Elephas maximus indicus: one gene and its partner. The protein of the gene in region 1 purifies or fractionates together with the protein of each later gene. This does not show direct contact. Links are inferred from orthologs where the notes say so. Each region holds a gene or a part of one and is shown on either strand. Other genes may lie near its edges.

Evidence for each region.
Region 2: the proteins of CCND1 (region 1) and cyclin-dependent kinase inhibitor 2A-like purify together in Homo sapiens (affinity purification with western blotting; 3 studies listed by BioGRID and IntAct, with this or other methods). This does not show direct contact. The link is inferred for Elephas maximus indicus from reciprocal best matches to the Homo sapiens genes CCND1 and CDKN2A.

The regions. Positions count from the first base shown.
Region 1 is NC_064825.1:132,455,659-132,463,667, forward strand, and holds the start of CCND1 (G1/S-specific cyclin-D1), read left to right. Parts: upstream 1-4,998; 5' UTR 4,999-5,239; coding exon 5,240-5,437; intron 5,438-7,006; coding exon 7,007-7,222; intron 7,223-7,825; coding exon 7,826-7,985; intron 7,986-8,009. UniProt on the Homo sapiens protein: Regulatory component of the cyclin D1-CDK4 (DC) complex that phosphorylates and inhibits members of the retinoblastoma (RB) protein family including RB1 and regulates the cell-cycle during G(1)/S transition.
Region 2 is NC_064827.1:31,844,021-31,851,497, reverse strand, and holds the start of cyclin-dependent kinase inhibitor 2A-like, read left to right. Parts: upstream 1-4,461; 5' UTR 4,462-4,486; coding exon 4,487-4,612; intron 4,613-7,477. UniProt on the Homo sapiens protein: Acts as a negative regulator of the proliferation of normal cells by interacting strongly with CDK4 and CDK6. This inhibits their ability to interact with cyclins D and to phosphorylate the retinoblastoma protein.

The DNA.
Region 1 (8,009 bases):
CCCCTTCTGCCTCCATGTGACTGCGGCGGGGTGGGGGGTAGTCCTTGACCAAGGAGAGGAGGGCAGAGAGAGGCGTCTCAGAGTCCCACTGACCCGTCCACTTCTGGGGGATCACAGATCGCAGTCCACCCCTGACCCTGAGGAGCAGAGGCAGAAAGCAGCCGGGTCAGAGGAAGCCGTATGAGATGCAGCCGTAAGCTCATTTTTTTTTTTCTTTTTTTATCTTGACTTGACACTCAGGACCGTTCAAGACTTAAAATTAAAAAAAAAAAAAAAAAAAGTTATCTATTTTATGGGCTTCTTCCTGTTTTTTTTTTTTTTTTTTTTTTTTTGGTAAGCATCTCCTGGATTCCACTTCCTAATCGCGCGGGACATGGGACTCAACCACCGACTGATTTTGATTAAAAAAGAAAAGAAAACTGTCAGACGGCTGCGAGGCCTCTTCTGCACTTCTGTCACTCCTGGTAAAGCGGAATGGTCACCGGTCCGGTTCTGTCGCGTCCCTCAGGTGGACAGTCACCCTACTGCAGACACCCCTAGGGTCTGAGCATCCTCCTACCCGCCAGTCTTTACAAACGAACATATTACGCCCGCAGCCCGACTCTCCTTATTACTTGGAAAAGCAAGCGCTATGGGCGGGAACCGGGGGCTGGCTCCGCACCGCCTCGGACCGGGCGTCCACATTCCGCACCCTGGGAGGTCCGCAGTGGTGGGAAGCGTTGAGTGCGCGCCTTCTCGAAGCCTTACGGTAAGCGCGGAGCGCAGAGCAACCACGTGGCCGCGGCCCTAGGGCCGGGCGAGAATCCGCGGAATGTGCCGCGCGTCCTCGCACCGCTGGGAGCCCCGGCCCAGGTCAGGGCGCGCGCCCCCCGCCCTAGCCGGGCCTCCCCTTGGCCCTGGCCCCGGGCACACGCGGGCACCCGGTGGGTTTGGGGGACGGAGCGCGGCCCAACTGGCCCCTGGGATCCCGTGCGCCTAAATCCCCTAGTCAGTCGCGACCCCGGTCCCTCCACAAAGCCCCCGACGGCTCGGGTTCGAGGGTCCCCGGGGAAGGGGTACCGGAAGCTAGGTTTGAGCCCCATTCCCCCAAGCCTGCGAAAAAGGCTCCGTCCTCCTCCTCTTCGCCCCCCCTCCCCGGCAAGTATCGGGAGTTCTAGAACTCGGAGTCTCCCCACCGGAGACCCCGGCCGTCCCACCCACCCCCAGGGCCAAGGCGAAGCGTAGAAACGCTTTCTGGAGGGATCCACAGGGGGAAGCCGGCTAGAAAGGCGGGGGGTACGTCCCCGCGGAAGATCCTCGAGAAAGGGCGGGGGAGGGCAGGTGACAGGCCCCGGGGCGCGGGAGGGACGTCCTGCTCCCGCGGGGCCAGGGCGCGTGGGAGCCGACGACGGTCTCAGCGTGGTCCCGCCGCCTGCAAAGCCGCAGCCCCAGGCTCCGTGGCCCCGCTGGTCCTGGAGCGGCCCCGCGAGCCCTCGCACCGGCAGAAGCCCTCTCAGACATCCAGGGGCACGTGGCCTCTGAAGTCATAGCCCCCATCCCCGCCCGAGTTCTCCGCCTTGGCTGGAGAGGCTTTCTTCTACACCTGGGCGCCCACTCCCCACTGGGAGCTTGAGCCGGCAGGCCGGAAAATACTGAACTTTGGGGTTCATTTTGCTCAGGGCACCAGGCAACGCGTTTTGAGTGGGCGAGGATCAAGGGGATAGAATCTTCTTTCAACTTCAAGAGTTGCACCTCCTCCCTCGCAATCCCAAAAGCGTCTTTGGGTCCAGGGCCCCACTACTGTTGGGGTTTTTAAGTCCTGCGCCCACTTCGCCCGCGTCCGTAGGGGCAGGCAGTGTCCCAGCCCCGCCGCCGGACGTCTAGGGGCGGGGGGAGCCTGTGTGTGGCTTAAATTAAGGGATCGCTGATGGGGGCGGCGTGGGGTGCGGCCGCCCCCGTCCCAAGCTGCTGGCTACCCCAAGTGGGCGCCGAGGCTCGGGTGCGCTGGGCGGGCAGCTTTGGGGCACGCGCAGTCGGCGCCGCGGAGCCCTTGCGGAGCTGCTGAGCACGTGGCTCTCGGTGCGCGCCCCAAAAGCTAGCAGCGTGGGGGCAGGGGAGCCCAAGCGCCCCCGGAACCCCGCGGCCCGCCTTCGGAAGCGCTTTCCAGTGCGACTTAAGGGCTTAACAATGGAAAACTCGCGGTGCTGGAGCCAAGTCCTTTCAAGTCGCCGCCAGGTATGCGGCTGCAGGTGACCCCACCTGGGTGCGCCCGGTCGCCGTCCTCCCGTGGGGAGGAGGGGAGTGCGGGTGCCGTAGGGCGACGCCAGCGGAAGGTCGCCCCTCTGGCCGCAGCCCCCTCGGGAGAGCCCCCTGCTCAGGCAGCGCGCAGCCGCGGTGGGACCTGGGTCGGCTCCGCGGCGCGCGGGTTCCTGAATGAACGCGTTCCCTTCCCCCTTTGAATGAAGGTTCCCACAGCCAGGGACGGTGGCAAACGCGCGCCGCAGCGGAATGCGCCCTCTCGGGCCAGCGATCCGCCCGGCCGCTGCCACCGCCCAGGGGACCGAGGCGAGGGAGGTGGGGATGGGGGTTCCAGTAACTTAGGGTTTCCTTTCACACGAACGCGGTTTCCCTCCGAATTGGGCCACCCGACCTTTGTCTCCAAGTGGTCCCACGCAATCCACGCGGAGCGCTTTAAACGAGCTCGGAATGCGCAGTGTCGGCGGCGTGGTGGGTTTTACAAACAGTGCCAAATGAAAGCGGCAACGGAAAAGTGCTGAAAAGTTGCTTTACTCTGCAAAATAAAAAAAAATCAAAATGCGTCTTCTGCTCTGTTAGCAGCAATTAACCTCATGGGGCCGGGCGGTGGGTTTCCTCGGGAGCTAGGGGGCCGCCAGGCTGGGCTCTCCCGGCGGGGGCTGGGCGCCGGGCGCTCCCCGCGGGGCCCCAAATTCCTGCGCCTCCCCCACCGGTTCCTGGACGGCTCTACACGCCCGCCGGCCGGGCTTGCACTTTTGCGCCCGTCCCTGAGCCGGGAAATCAACAAAGTTCCTCCTCGAGATCTGCCCGGCCCGCCTAGTAACAGCGCCGCGCCCCCATTGGCTCATGCTAATTCCAGTTTCCTCTCTTTCTCGCCGTGGGGGGGCAGCTCCCTCCTGATCCCGGAGCCCGAGTGGCCGGGGTGGGCGATCCTCCTTATGCCCTGCTGCCCCTCGCCAACGTCGGCGACTCGCGCCTCTGGCCGGGCCGGGGCGCACACCGGGGCGCGAGCCCCTGGACCCTCGAGGCCCTGCCGCCGGTGAGGGCGCGCAGCCCCATAAATCATCGGGCGGCCGCCCGGTCGGGAATTTATGAATGAAAAGCTGCCTGGCCGCCCTCGTGCGCCGGCGGAGGCTGCTGAGGCTACGCCGTGCCCGGGGTCGGCCGGGGCGTGGGTACCCGGGGAGGGCGCATGGCGGTGGGCGCGTCCTGCCCGGTCACCCATCGCCTCGGGGGCTGTGACCCTCCCAGACCCGGAATATTAGCCGCCCTCATTCCGGCGGGGGATGGGGCGCGGGAGGAATCCCCCCTGTCCCCTGGCGGGGGGCGTCTTCATTCGCAGCGTGCGCCCTTTCCACCCGGAGGGCTATCTAAAAATCCGTTTTCTTTTGCGCCTTTACTGTTAGGGGAGTCGGTGGTTTTTAGGACATTAAACTAGGTTCAAAGAGACGTAAATGAACAGTTTTCTAAAGTGGGGACAGGTAGTGTAAAAACAAACAAAAAAAAGTTAAGAATGGGTAAAATAGCCTTTTATTTAAAAAAAAAAAGAAAAAACACACCAAAAAGCCAATCTCCATTTAATAAAAATACCGTATATATTTTTGTGTGTCTTTCTTAAATTTAAGTTAATATTAGGGACCCGATCCTATTACCACGATCACATATAGATTTTGTTTAAAATCATCTGTTCAAGCACCCATTTCTCTCACTTTCAATTGTTCTAATTCTTGCCAGCCCCCTGGCGCTCACAAGCGCAGCCCCAGGGCAAGTTCGAAAGGTGAAGAGACGTTCACAACCCCGGCAAAACCGTGTAGGAAGCTTCCGGTGGTCTCGTCCCAGGCAGAGAGGAGGCTAATATTTCCAGCAATTTAATTTCTTTTTTAATTAAAAAGTGAGGCGGGACAGACCTCTGTTTCGCAGCCTTCCATTCCAAGGTGTTTTTCCGCTGTTGAAATGCCGGGACTGGGGGAGGGGACACTTGGGGACCCCTGCAAGGATGTACTTGCCAAGGTAGGAGGACAGTCCGCGGATCCCTCAGGCGAGCAGGACAGGATGATGGAAATGCTGGCCACCATCTTGGGCTGCTTCTGGAATTTTCGGGGATTTATTTTATTTTATTTTTTGAGCGAGCCTGTGCTGGGCTGAAGCCCCTTTTAACGTTTAGGGTTACCCCCTCGGGCATTTCCAATGACCCCCCCGTGGGCCGGAATGAAGGTGCCACCAGGGTCCTATGCTCTGCCCCGCGTCCCCGCCTGTTAAACAGTTCCTGAAATTTACACGTGTTAATGAAAATGAAAGAAAAGGCAGAAGCTGTGATTCCTTCCTTGGCCGTCCCTCCGCCCGTGGGTGACCTCGTGGCGTTCTCGGAAATGTGCCCATTCTCCCGGCTCGGATATAGGGTGTCGCCGAGCCCCAGCGTCCCCCCTCCATGCGGTCTCCCCAGGCTCCGTGTGGCCTGCCCGCCCTCTTCGTTGTCCCCTTCTGCAACGCCCCCTCCCCAAATCCCCGGGGACCACTTGGAGGGAACCGGGCCCCCCTGCACCCCTCTTCCCCCGCGGGGAGAAAGGCCGCGGCGGGGCGATTTGCATTTCTATGAAAACCCGGCTTCGGGGGGAACTCCGCCGCGGGGCAGGAGCGGCGCCTCTGGGATGCCTTTTGGGCTCTGCCCCTCGCTGCTCCCCGGCTCTCGGCCCGCGCCCCCTCCCCCTGCGCCCGCCCCGCCCCCCCGCTCCCATTCTCTGCCCGGCTTTGATCTCTGCTTAACAACAGTAACGTCACAAGGACTACAGGGGAGTTTTGTTGGAAGTTGCAAAGTCCTGGAGCCTCCAGAGGGCTGTCGGCGCAGTAGCAGCGAGCAGCAGCGGCCGCGCGCTCCTGCGAGGGGCAGACGAGGGCGAGAGAGCGCGGGGCAGCGGGAGGAGCGAGGCCGAGCTCGCGGACCGAGCGGGAGCCCGAGCCTGAGCCCAGCCGACCGCCTTCTCCGCCGCCCAGCCCAGCCGCCGGCATGGAGCACCAGCTCCTGTGCTGCGAGGTGGAGACCATCCGCCGCGCGTACCCCGATGCCAACCTTCTCAACGACCGGGTGCTGCAGGCCATGCTCAAGGCCGAAGAGACCTGCGCGCCCTCGGTGTCCTACTTCAAGTGCGTGCAGAAGGAGATACTGCCGTCCATGCGCAAGATCGTGGCCACCTGGATGCTGGAGGTGCGTGGCGCCGGGCCGCCCTTTGGGGACTTTCTGCAACTTGTTGCCTAAGCCCAGATTGCTTTGCCTCTCATCTCTCCCTTCTTTCACCCTCACCCCAACTTTCCAGTTCGCCGAGGGTTGCTAGGAATCTGTCTTTTCCAAAGAAATAGATATTGTGGGTATTTTTTTTTTTTTTTAACCAGGAAAAAATGGGGATGGGGGTGGGGGCGTTCGAAACTCCCTTTCCTACGGGGTGGAGGGCTCGAGGAGGGGTGCCTTCGGAGAAGCGAGTGGCGGGGGCACCCGAATAAGCCGAAAGGTGCGGGTCGGCAGGCTGGGGGCGCCTTTGGTGGCCCCCTCCCGGCCGCCACCGCCGCGCAGCCCCCGCCTGCGTCCGCGCCTATCTGCGCCTCCTCTCCCGGCCGCTGCGGCCCGGGGCGCCAGCCCCGGGGGGAGGGGGTATCGATTTGATTTTTAAATTAATATCCATGGACACGTATGCAAGGGCCACTCGTGCCAGTATTATGCGCCATCTTTGTTCTTTTATTGCAAAGCAAAAGTGTTTATTAATAATTGGGGGGAGGGTGGGGGCGGGGAGCGGCCGGCGAGGCGCTGGGGCCGCGGCGAGGGGCCGCCCGGCTGCCGGGAGCCAGGCGGGAGGGGTGCGGGAACAGGGTGTGGGCATTTCTGGGGGGACCCCGCTTGGGAAGTGTGGCCCCTTTGTTCAAGCAGCGACCCCTGGGGCTCCCTGCACCGCCAGCTGGCCCGGAGAGCACGCCGGGCTGCAAGGTCGCGTGGCCCCCAAGACACCAGGAATTGGCCCCCGTCTGCGAGGGGCTTGGCTTGGGGGGGCCTGCCCAGAGTCATCCGGGTGTCCGGGGCACATTTTCAGGCCTGCGGTGGGCGTCTGGGGGGACCGCGAGTATTTTAAAATAATTTTTGAAAGTGCGGCGTGGTGCCCTTGCGAGAGGGAAACGGCGCCCGCGCCCAGGGGGAAGGGGTGCCCCCGAGTTTCAGTCCCTGGGGCGCTCCCTGGAGCCTGTAGTGAGCTCCAGAGCCCCGGCCTAGGTAAAGGGCCGTCCGGGGATCGTTTTCAGGGATTTTTTGTGCGCCCACTTATTTTTTTTATATTTTTAAATATTTTTTGAAAAGATGACGTCTGGGGAAATGCGGCGCTGCGGCCTGGGACGCCACCTTTGTGTCTCGCAGGCGGGGCGAGCGCGGCGCCCAACCCCGTGGTCCAGCCCCGCGGCCCCGCGGCCCATTTGGTGCGGGCTCCCAGCCAGAAGGACCCCCAGAGCCCCCAGGTGGGCTGGGGTCTCCCGGCCGCACCGCTGCCCGCGGTGCCCACTCCCGCCCCCACCGTGCCAGCCGCGCGGGACTTTCCCTTTCAGTTTCGGAGGTGGATGGGTGCTGGGGGCGCGCGGGGGTGGGGACGCGTCATCGGAGGCTCAAGCCACCCCCTGCCCGGTGCCTCCCCGCGCTCCGGCGCCGCAGCCCCGGCGCGCGCGGGGTGGGCGTGCGGAGACGTCGGGCGGGGGTCCCGCGCCCCCAGCGGCGGTGGTCACGGCCCCCCTGCCCCTGCAGGTCTGCGAGGAGCAGAAGTGCGAGGAGGAGGTCTTCCCGCTGGCCATGAACTATCTGGACCGCTTCCTGTCCCTGGAGCCGGTGAAGAAGAGCCGCCTGCAGCTGCTGGGGGCCACCTGCATGTTCGTGGCCTCCAAGATGAAGGAGACCATCCCCCTGACGGCCGAGAAGCTGTGCATCTACACAGACAACTCCATCCGACCCGACGAGCTGCTGGTAACCGGGGGACCCCCACGGCCCCCAGGCACCCCGTTTGTTACAGGATCCCAGGGATGGGGGCGCGGGTCGCGGGGAGGCCCAGCCAGACGCTGACAGATCCTCGGGCCTGAGGGAGGGCGGCCACACCGCTCCGGGGCAGGGGGGAGGCCAGGAACAGCAGGCGGCAGTTATCCGGGCCGCCCCCCCATCTCGGCGCCCGCCGCCCCACATCCCACTTTCGACCACGTTTGCACCCCGGAGCGAGGGCGAAAAGTGGACGGCGCGCGCCCTCTAGCGGTGGCGGCGCGCTCAGGGCGCCCGCGCTAATTAATAAGGCCTTTGGTTGCAGATGGTGGGAGGTCTTTTTGTCTCCACTTGTGAACAGTCGGCTTAATGACAATGAGCACGGGGGCCTTTTCACGCGGCACCTTCTCTGTTTTGATCCGGAATTGCGGGTCGTCTGTCCCCCTCGCCCTACTTCCTGAACCCCTCAACAGGCCACATCCCTCCTTCCCACCCTCTGCCCTGCTCCTGGCCGGCATCCCAGGCCCCCCAGGGCTGACCCTGCACCTCTTTCTCTCTCTCTCTTTCTCTGTCTCTCTGCCCGCTTCATCTCCCCAGCACATGGAGCTGCTTCTGGTGAACAAGCTCAAGTGGAACCTGGCTGCCATGACCCCCCACGATTTCATCGAACACTTCCTGTCCAAGATGCCCGTGGCCCAGGAGAACAAGCAGATTATCCGAAAACACGCCCAGACCTTCGTGGCGCTCTGTGCCACAGGTAGGTAGGGTGGCGGGCCAGCCC
Region 2 (7,477 bases), on another chromosome or scaffold:
GAACTATAAAGGATAGAGCAGGATAAAGCTTATTTGAAGATATGGACATTGAAGCTAAAAATAGTCTCAAAGGGTTTCAAAGTAAAAAAAAAAAAAAAAACACTTCGTTAGATACACCAATCCAGAGCTATTTCTCCAACACCTTCTATTTTCCTAAAAAAAAAATCTTGCTTATCATAGAATCACCTGACCAATCCGTCAAAGTCTCCTCAGAACCAGAACTTAGTTTCAGAACATACCTCCTCAAATATCCTTCTGATTCTTGTGGTGTGTTGAATTAATGTTCACATCCCATATTACAATTCCTTGGTAATAGAGTTCTGGAGTAGCACCATTGCAAGGCTTTCTTTGGTTCTAATGAAGTAGTGTCTATGACACTAGTGCTATAGTGTCATGGTCTCTACACTCAGCTCTGTCCTTCGGGCCAGTGAAAAGGCTCTGTCTGAGTCCTACTCAGGCACACTGTCATTTCCTCTTAAGGTATTCCAAACCTTCATGACTCTCAAATTTCTTAACCCACCATCTTGTCCTCACTCTTTCCAAACAAGCCAGCCTCCTCATTAATGGAAGGAATTACCTCAACTTCCTTCCTGCCTTGACCCTTTTTCCCTCTTCAGATCTGTCTTTATCCAAATTTATGACGTCCCTGTGCATTGGATTCCATTTCTTATACCTTTCAGGACCTCAGGTCCTATTTCTCTTTTGTCTCTTCTAACTGTTCTTTCACTTCACCTGGCATGTTCCTTCATTGTATGTGTGTCCTCAGGTCTCTTCCACCTTCCATCTGCTTCCCTTCACCGTATATCACCTTGAGCTTTGACGGCCAAACTATGAAAGAATAGTCTACACCAGGTGTCCCCACTTCCTTGCTGTCACATTCACTCCTGGATTTCCTTCTGACTCTGAGTAGCCCTTGTCAGCTTCTTTTGCAGAAGCTTCTTTTTCCAGCTTCTCACTGTATATTCCAGTGAATTACGTCCAGTTTTCCTAAACTTCTATGCCTTTGCATCTGTTCTTGCCTCTGCCAGGAACATCTTTCTCCATCTTTCCTTTCCATCTTTACACTCCCATGCTTTTCTTCAAGTTGGGGTTAGCTCTCATACTGTCCAGGAAGCCTTTCACCTAAGCCACCAGGATGAATTTGGCTCCCTTTTCATTTTCTTGTGTCACCCTCTGCTTCCCTTTGCTCTTGTAAGTGCTTTACATATTATGTCCCATTTAATTCACACAACCACCATTTGAGGCAAGCATGATTATCATCCCCATTTTAGAGATGAGGATACTGAGCACCAAAGACATTAAATAATTTGTTCAGTTAGAAAACTAATAGGTGGAAATATCTAGGTTTAAATCTAGGCAATTTGACTGTAGGGTTGAATTTAACCACCTATGCTCTACTGTTAGCCTCTGAGCTTGTTGGATGAATAAATAAGTAGTAATTTATGTTCTATTTTTTTCTTAAAAGACTGATCAGATTTGAGACAGGTTTAAATTTCATAATATAGATTTTCAAGACTGCCAAGACAGCAGAAATGGAGACCATGGCATTCTCAGGGAAGAGGAGAGGTAAGTGTAAGGTTAATAATAATAACAAACTTTAGAACTTAGAAAGCTCTTTGACATCTATCATCTTGTTCCATGCACCCAAGAAATATATCATGATCCCATTTTACAGATAAGAAATCTGAGGCTGGCAGAACCAGCACCAAGATCCCTGGCTTTATAGTTTATTTCTTCTGGAGTTTTACCCCTCAGGTCTGAACTGATATGAGTAAGTAAACTGGGAGTATGGAAGGTTTTTTAAGGAAAAAAAAAACTGGAAGAGCTTTCACAGTATTATTATTTATTTACACAGATTTATGATAGATACAGGACCAATTTCCAGAAAAGGGCCACACCCAAGAATGCCACAGTCTTTCAGGAGCTCCGATGCAAGTGCCTGAGCTAGTGAACACACATCTAAAACCTGCTGTTGGTATTTCCAAAGCATCAACCTCTATGTCTGTATATAATTCATCCAAGAAATATTTTTGTGTTTCCATCTCATGCTTCCTTCTCCAATACATTGCCTTCTCACAAGAGCTAAAGGGATTCTTGACGTGGCAGTCCATAGTTGAGTTTTAGATGAATACCTGAATTCCCTGAAAGTTTTATTCAGAAATATACTTGCCAGTGAACACACTTGGTTTGAGGTTGGTTGGTTTTCATTGCATACTTTATTTATTTTTTTGAGGATAATGTCTGTAGCTTTCAAGAGATTCTCAAACGGAAGATTAAGAACCATTATATTAGTGATGGAAGCAAATTTTGATATTGGTCTAAAAGCCAGGCATAATTACAAGGGAAATCTGTTCCATCTCTCCCATCACAGCCATATTGCCCCCCTCCCATCATAAAATGTAAAAGGAGCCCTGGTGGCACAGTGCTTAATCACTCAGCTGCTAACCAAAGATGTGGCAGTCTGCTTTGGTAAAGATTCACAGCCTTGGGAATTCTGGCAGTTCTCATAGTCACTATAAGTCAGAATCCACTTGACCGCAACAGGTTTTACCATAAAAAGTCTTAAGCTAACTTAAAAAGAATATTAGATTCCTTATCCATAGTTTGAATTGTTCAAACCATTGCTGCCCAGTATTTGAGAGGTGCCTGGAGGAAAATATAGAAGGCACAGTAGTAATACGTTATGGATTCTTATAAGAGATTTGACAATAAATGTTTAATTGGCATAATTTAAAAACTACATTTTGCCTGACCTAGCAACAACTGAAGGTACAGCAAGGTATTCTGGGGCTTAAGATAAGTCAGCTAAGGATTAAAACGTTAACTTTTAGACAGAGCCGGGTTACCTAGTAGTCAGACTCAGTATGTGCTCAAGGCACCAGCAGGTAACCCATACAATTTTTAAATGTAATATATATATTTTTAAGAGCATAAAAGTAATAATCACGGGAAAAATTAGAACTCTGTTGGATTTCCTTTCGCTTACTAAATTCCTTAGATGCACCATCATGTTTTCTGTGATTAAGGTCTTCTTGGTCTTCCTTCTCTTTTATATAATATTGATAATTCTATCCAAAATATTTTCTTCTCTCTGCCTCAGGAGATTGCAAGCAAATCCTCCAAATGGATAATTTGATAGCTAGCAGGTATTGTGTGCTTGGGATGTGTATCACTGTTCCAAATGCTATATGTAAATCAGGACATTAAAAATTCACAACAGCCCTGTGAAGTAAGTACTACTCTAAGTTCCCCTTTTTATAGCTAAGAAAAGGGCAAGGTATTTCTAGGAGGAAGGAGAGGTGTGGGACGCTGGAAGCAGACCCAGGAGGGGCCCCAGTACAGTGTATCTGAGCCTGTACCGTGATGCACTGTGTCAGTCTCTAGACAGCTGAGCACTTTCTCTGGTCTAGAAGGAACGCCTTATTAAGAATGGGGTCTGTCACCCGAATGACTTCCTCTCCACTTTCCTATCTGCTTATAGGTGGGACTCTTTCCAGTCCGTGTTAAATAGACCCTACCTTCAGAGCCAGCCCTAACTGGCATATCCTGTTCGTATATCTGGCGCTAGTAGGAGGCTTTGCTCACCTCTTGGAAACCCTCGCCCCAGCCACGTGGGTGGGGAGAGGGGAGCAGGCAACCGTTAGACTCTGAAAAAGGAATCTTTGAAGTACGTTTTCTGGAACCATAGGCTCAGAACGCTTAACCCAGGGAGTATCTGGGGAAGAGGGAGGTGTGATTCGGTGATCTAAAAGAAGGGTCGCCTCAGAGTCACAACACCGGGATTACCGATCCTCAGTGAGGCCCTTATTACGAGGAGAGGACAGCTTTGGCCAATTCATCCGAGTACTTACTATAGGGAGGAAGCAATACTTTGCCTATGATATCGAACGCTCAGGTTCGAGCTTGACAGTCAGAAATCCCTGCCCAGCTATCTAAATACTAGGAGAGTGTAGAGAGAAGGGAGGAACCTGGGAGAAATTCCGTTTAGCTTTAGTAGAGGGAACTCGCTTAGAGACTCCTGTGCTCTTCCGTTGGATCGGGGGAGGGGACAGCACCGTGAGGGTGGGGCGACAGGAGGACGGGGGCGGTAGGGGGGCGAGGAGGGGCGCAGGGCTCCCAGCTCCGGCGGCGTCCGCGTGCTCCGGGAGTGGACCGCTTCCGGGCAGGTCTCGCTTCTCGGGGAGCCGAAGGCCGTGCGGCCAGCCGCCGCGTGGGGCGACCTCGGGGCACCTCCGTGGCGTGCTCTAGTGTCCTTGGAGGACACCACGTGATCGGCGCCCCTAGAAGTGGAAAGACGCGGTGGCCCCGCCGGAGGGGTGGGGAGACCGATTCAGGGGGCCGCGGCGCGGGGGCTCGGGCAGCCGGTTTCCGCCCGCCCGGCGGAGGGAAGCGAGGGGCGGGCCAGTCACGAGAGGGCGGGCCGGGCGCTAGGCGGCGGCGGGAGGAAGGGGACGAGGGGACAAGGGAGCGAGGCGCGGGGAGCGGCATGGAGCCCACCGCCGACTCGCTGGCCACGGCGGCCGCCCGAGGCCGGGCCCGGGAGGTGCGGGCGCTGCTGCGGGCGGGGGCGCAGCCTAACGCGCCGAACCGCTACGGGCGCCGCCCGATCCAGGTAGGTAGCAGGTCCCGAGCGGGAGAAGGTGATGGCGGGCTGCTCGGGAGGACGACGGTTGCAGGGGAATGGGAACCGGGTGGCGTTTGGATTCTCGGAAAAGGGGCGATTTCCCGGGACGTTTTCAGAAAAGATTTTGGGGTCGGAGACCTCGTGACGACGCCCCGGGGCCTCGGGAAGCCCCGGAGGGAAGGAGGGGGCACTTGGGGTGCACATCTCTGGAGTGGTGTGACTATAAGAATCTGGCGGGGGGAACATATACATGTGTGTTCATATAAAAAAAAAAAAAAACCAACCCGTATAGACCGAGGTATATTCCAGATACAGAATCTATGAATGAGATAAAACGCGAGATTTTAAAGAAATGTAAGGTTCACTGGGACTATGTAGCCCCAAACTCACAGACCCCTGAATAAAGCTGATCACCTTCTTTCCTGGAGGGACTCCGCTGGAAACCTACTGGCACGTATGTTGGAATAAATGCCGACTGAAATTATTCAGAAACAACTGCATATCGTGTTGATTTTTATTTTAACTGAGTAGGGGGAAAATGTATTCATGTAAAGAACTTAGGACTGAGTAGGGAAACTGCTCGTTGTAAAAAAAATCTTACGACATCCAGGCCTATATAAAAAAAAAAATGTTTTTTAGTGTGATCTTGCCTAAGACAATATTTCCAATTTAGTTACCATCTTAAGAGTATTTGCTATTATTTTTGTCATTTTAACTTACTTGATATGGATTATTTTACTTGGGAGAGAGTTTTCAATTTTTCACTGCTGGAAGGTTCCATTTTTCTCCTCCCCCTCCCTTGTGTGTGAAGGGGGAGGGGGGACCAGGGAAGGTTGCATGTGTTTTTTCTTCACTAACTTCCTAAATATCATGCCAAAAAGTTAATTCTTGCTGGCGGTTACCAGCCTAATTTTATTCCCAGCGGCAACAACGATCTCTGATTCTGAAAAAGAGAATATGTGAAACAAATGCACATTGTAAAAGCTTCATAAGACAAAGGAAAGTAACTGCGTCAGACTTCATGAGTGAATCTTTCCTTCTTGAACCTATCCTACAAAGGATATATATTTTACACACTTTAAAGTACAGTGCAAAAAAAAAGTACAGATATAAGAATAAAATTAAAAATGCCTTAAAACTTGAGATTTTGGGGTCCTGAAATGGCAAGAGATCTTGAAACTAGAGGGGCTGGATAGTTGTAAAAGATAAGTATGAGTCCTTCAAAAAGAATGTTTGATTCGTAATTTAGCATCTCCAAGATTTTGCCAGCAACCTGGAGACTCGGAGTGATGGCCTTAGAGTCCTGGAATACGTTAGGCGAGACCTCATCTGTTTAGATACAGAAAGGAAAAAGAAAGTTGGATAATTACGATTTTTTTATACGGGGATAAGAACATAGAGAAAGGGGCCAAATGAGTTTGATGTAGAACTTCGACCGAATTGTTTTTTAATACAGAATATGTCATTTATAAAAATTCTTTTAAAACAACTAGATTCCAATAAATTGCTTAGCAAATGGATCTTAAGCATCCTACCAATATCGGTTTAATTGATTTGCCTTTTTTGTTTTTGGATTTTTTTTTTTAATATTTAAATGCCCAGTTGCTTTTCAGTTTTTTTCTTATGTTAAAATATAAGGAAAACATTCAAGACCAGTTTTTTTTTGTAGTCCAATTTATTAGGTTAAATTATTTGTGTAGATTTTTTTTAATAACATTTTATTGTGTTCTAGGTGAAAGCTTACACAGCGAATTAGGTCCTCCTTTAACAATGTTTATACAAATTGTTTCATGATACTGGTTACAATTTTCACAATGTATCAGCATTCACCTTATTTCCATTCTGTTTATTCTGTTTACATTGATCGAACTTCCCTTCCTCTCCTTGCCTTCTCATGTTTGCTTTTCAGTAAATGTTGACTGTTTGGTCTCATATAGTTAATTGTTTAAGGGAGCACATTACTCACAGGTGATATTGTTTATTTCATAAGCCAACCTATTTGACTGAAAGTGACCTGCAGAAATAACTGCATTTCCAACTTCAAAGGGTACCTTAGCCCCTGGGGGAGGGGGGACTCCTCTAGACTCTCCATCCAGTAGGTCCAGCCTTTTTTAAGAATTTGAATTTTGTTCTACATTTTTCCCCTGTTCTATCCAGGACCTTCTATTGTATTCCTGGTCACAATGGTTGGTAGCGTAGCCAGGGACCATTTAGTTCTTCTGGTCTCAGGTCAGAAAAAGCTGTAGTTCATGAGGGCTATTAGTTCTGTGGACTAGTTTCTTCTTTGAGCCTTTGATTCCTTCATTCTCTTTTGCTGCATAGAGGAGAGACCAATCATTTGTTTTTAGATTAAGACCAGTTTTATGACAAATGAATGACTTGATTTGGTTGGGTAAACAAAAACTGTGCTGCAATTTTTTTTTTGTGTGGCTGTAATTTGGTTCACATATATTTTCCCTCGTTCTTTTGAAAACTAAATTGGTTTCCCCACTTTTGGGGCAGAACTCAACACCTATAGTATAATTTATTATTTTTCCTCCCTTTGGGCAAATAAAAATAATTTATTTAATTGATACAAAACATAACTAAGTAATTTCTCTTTATACAGTCAGTATCCCCAAGCAAATATAACCAGATAATGGTTATTCTAAAAAGAATCCTCCACCAGCACCCATAACATGGCATCCCAATTCTAAGGCTGCTAAGGTGCACACCATTTTAAAATTCCCCTTTGGAAATTATTTTGTTTCAAAGATAATTTATGTACCAAAGAGACGAGCAGCTCCTGTAGGAGAGTATATGAGTTTCCCATTGCTGCTGTAACAAATTATCACAAATTTATGAACCAGAGAG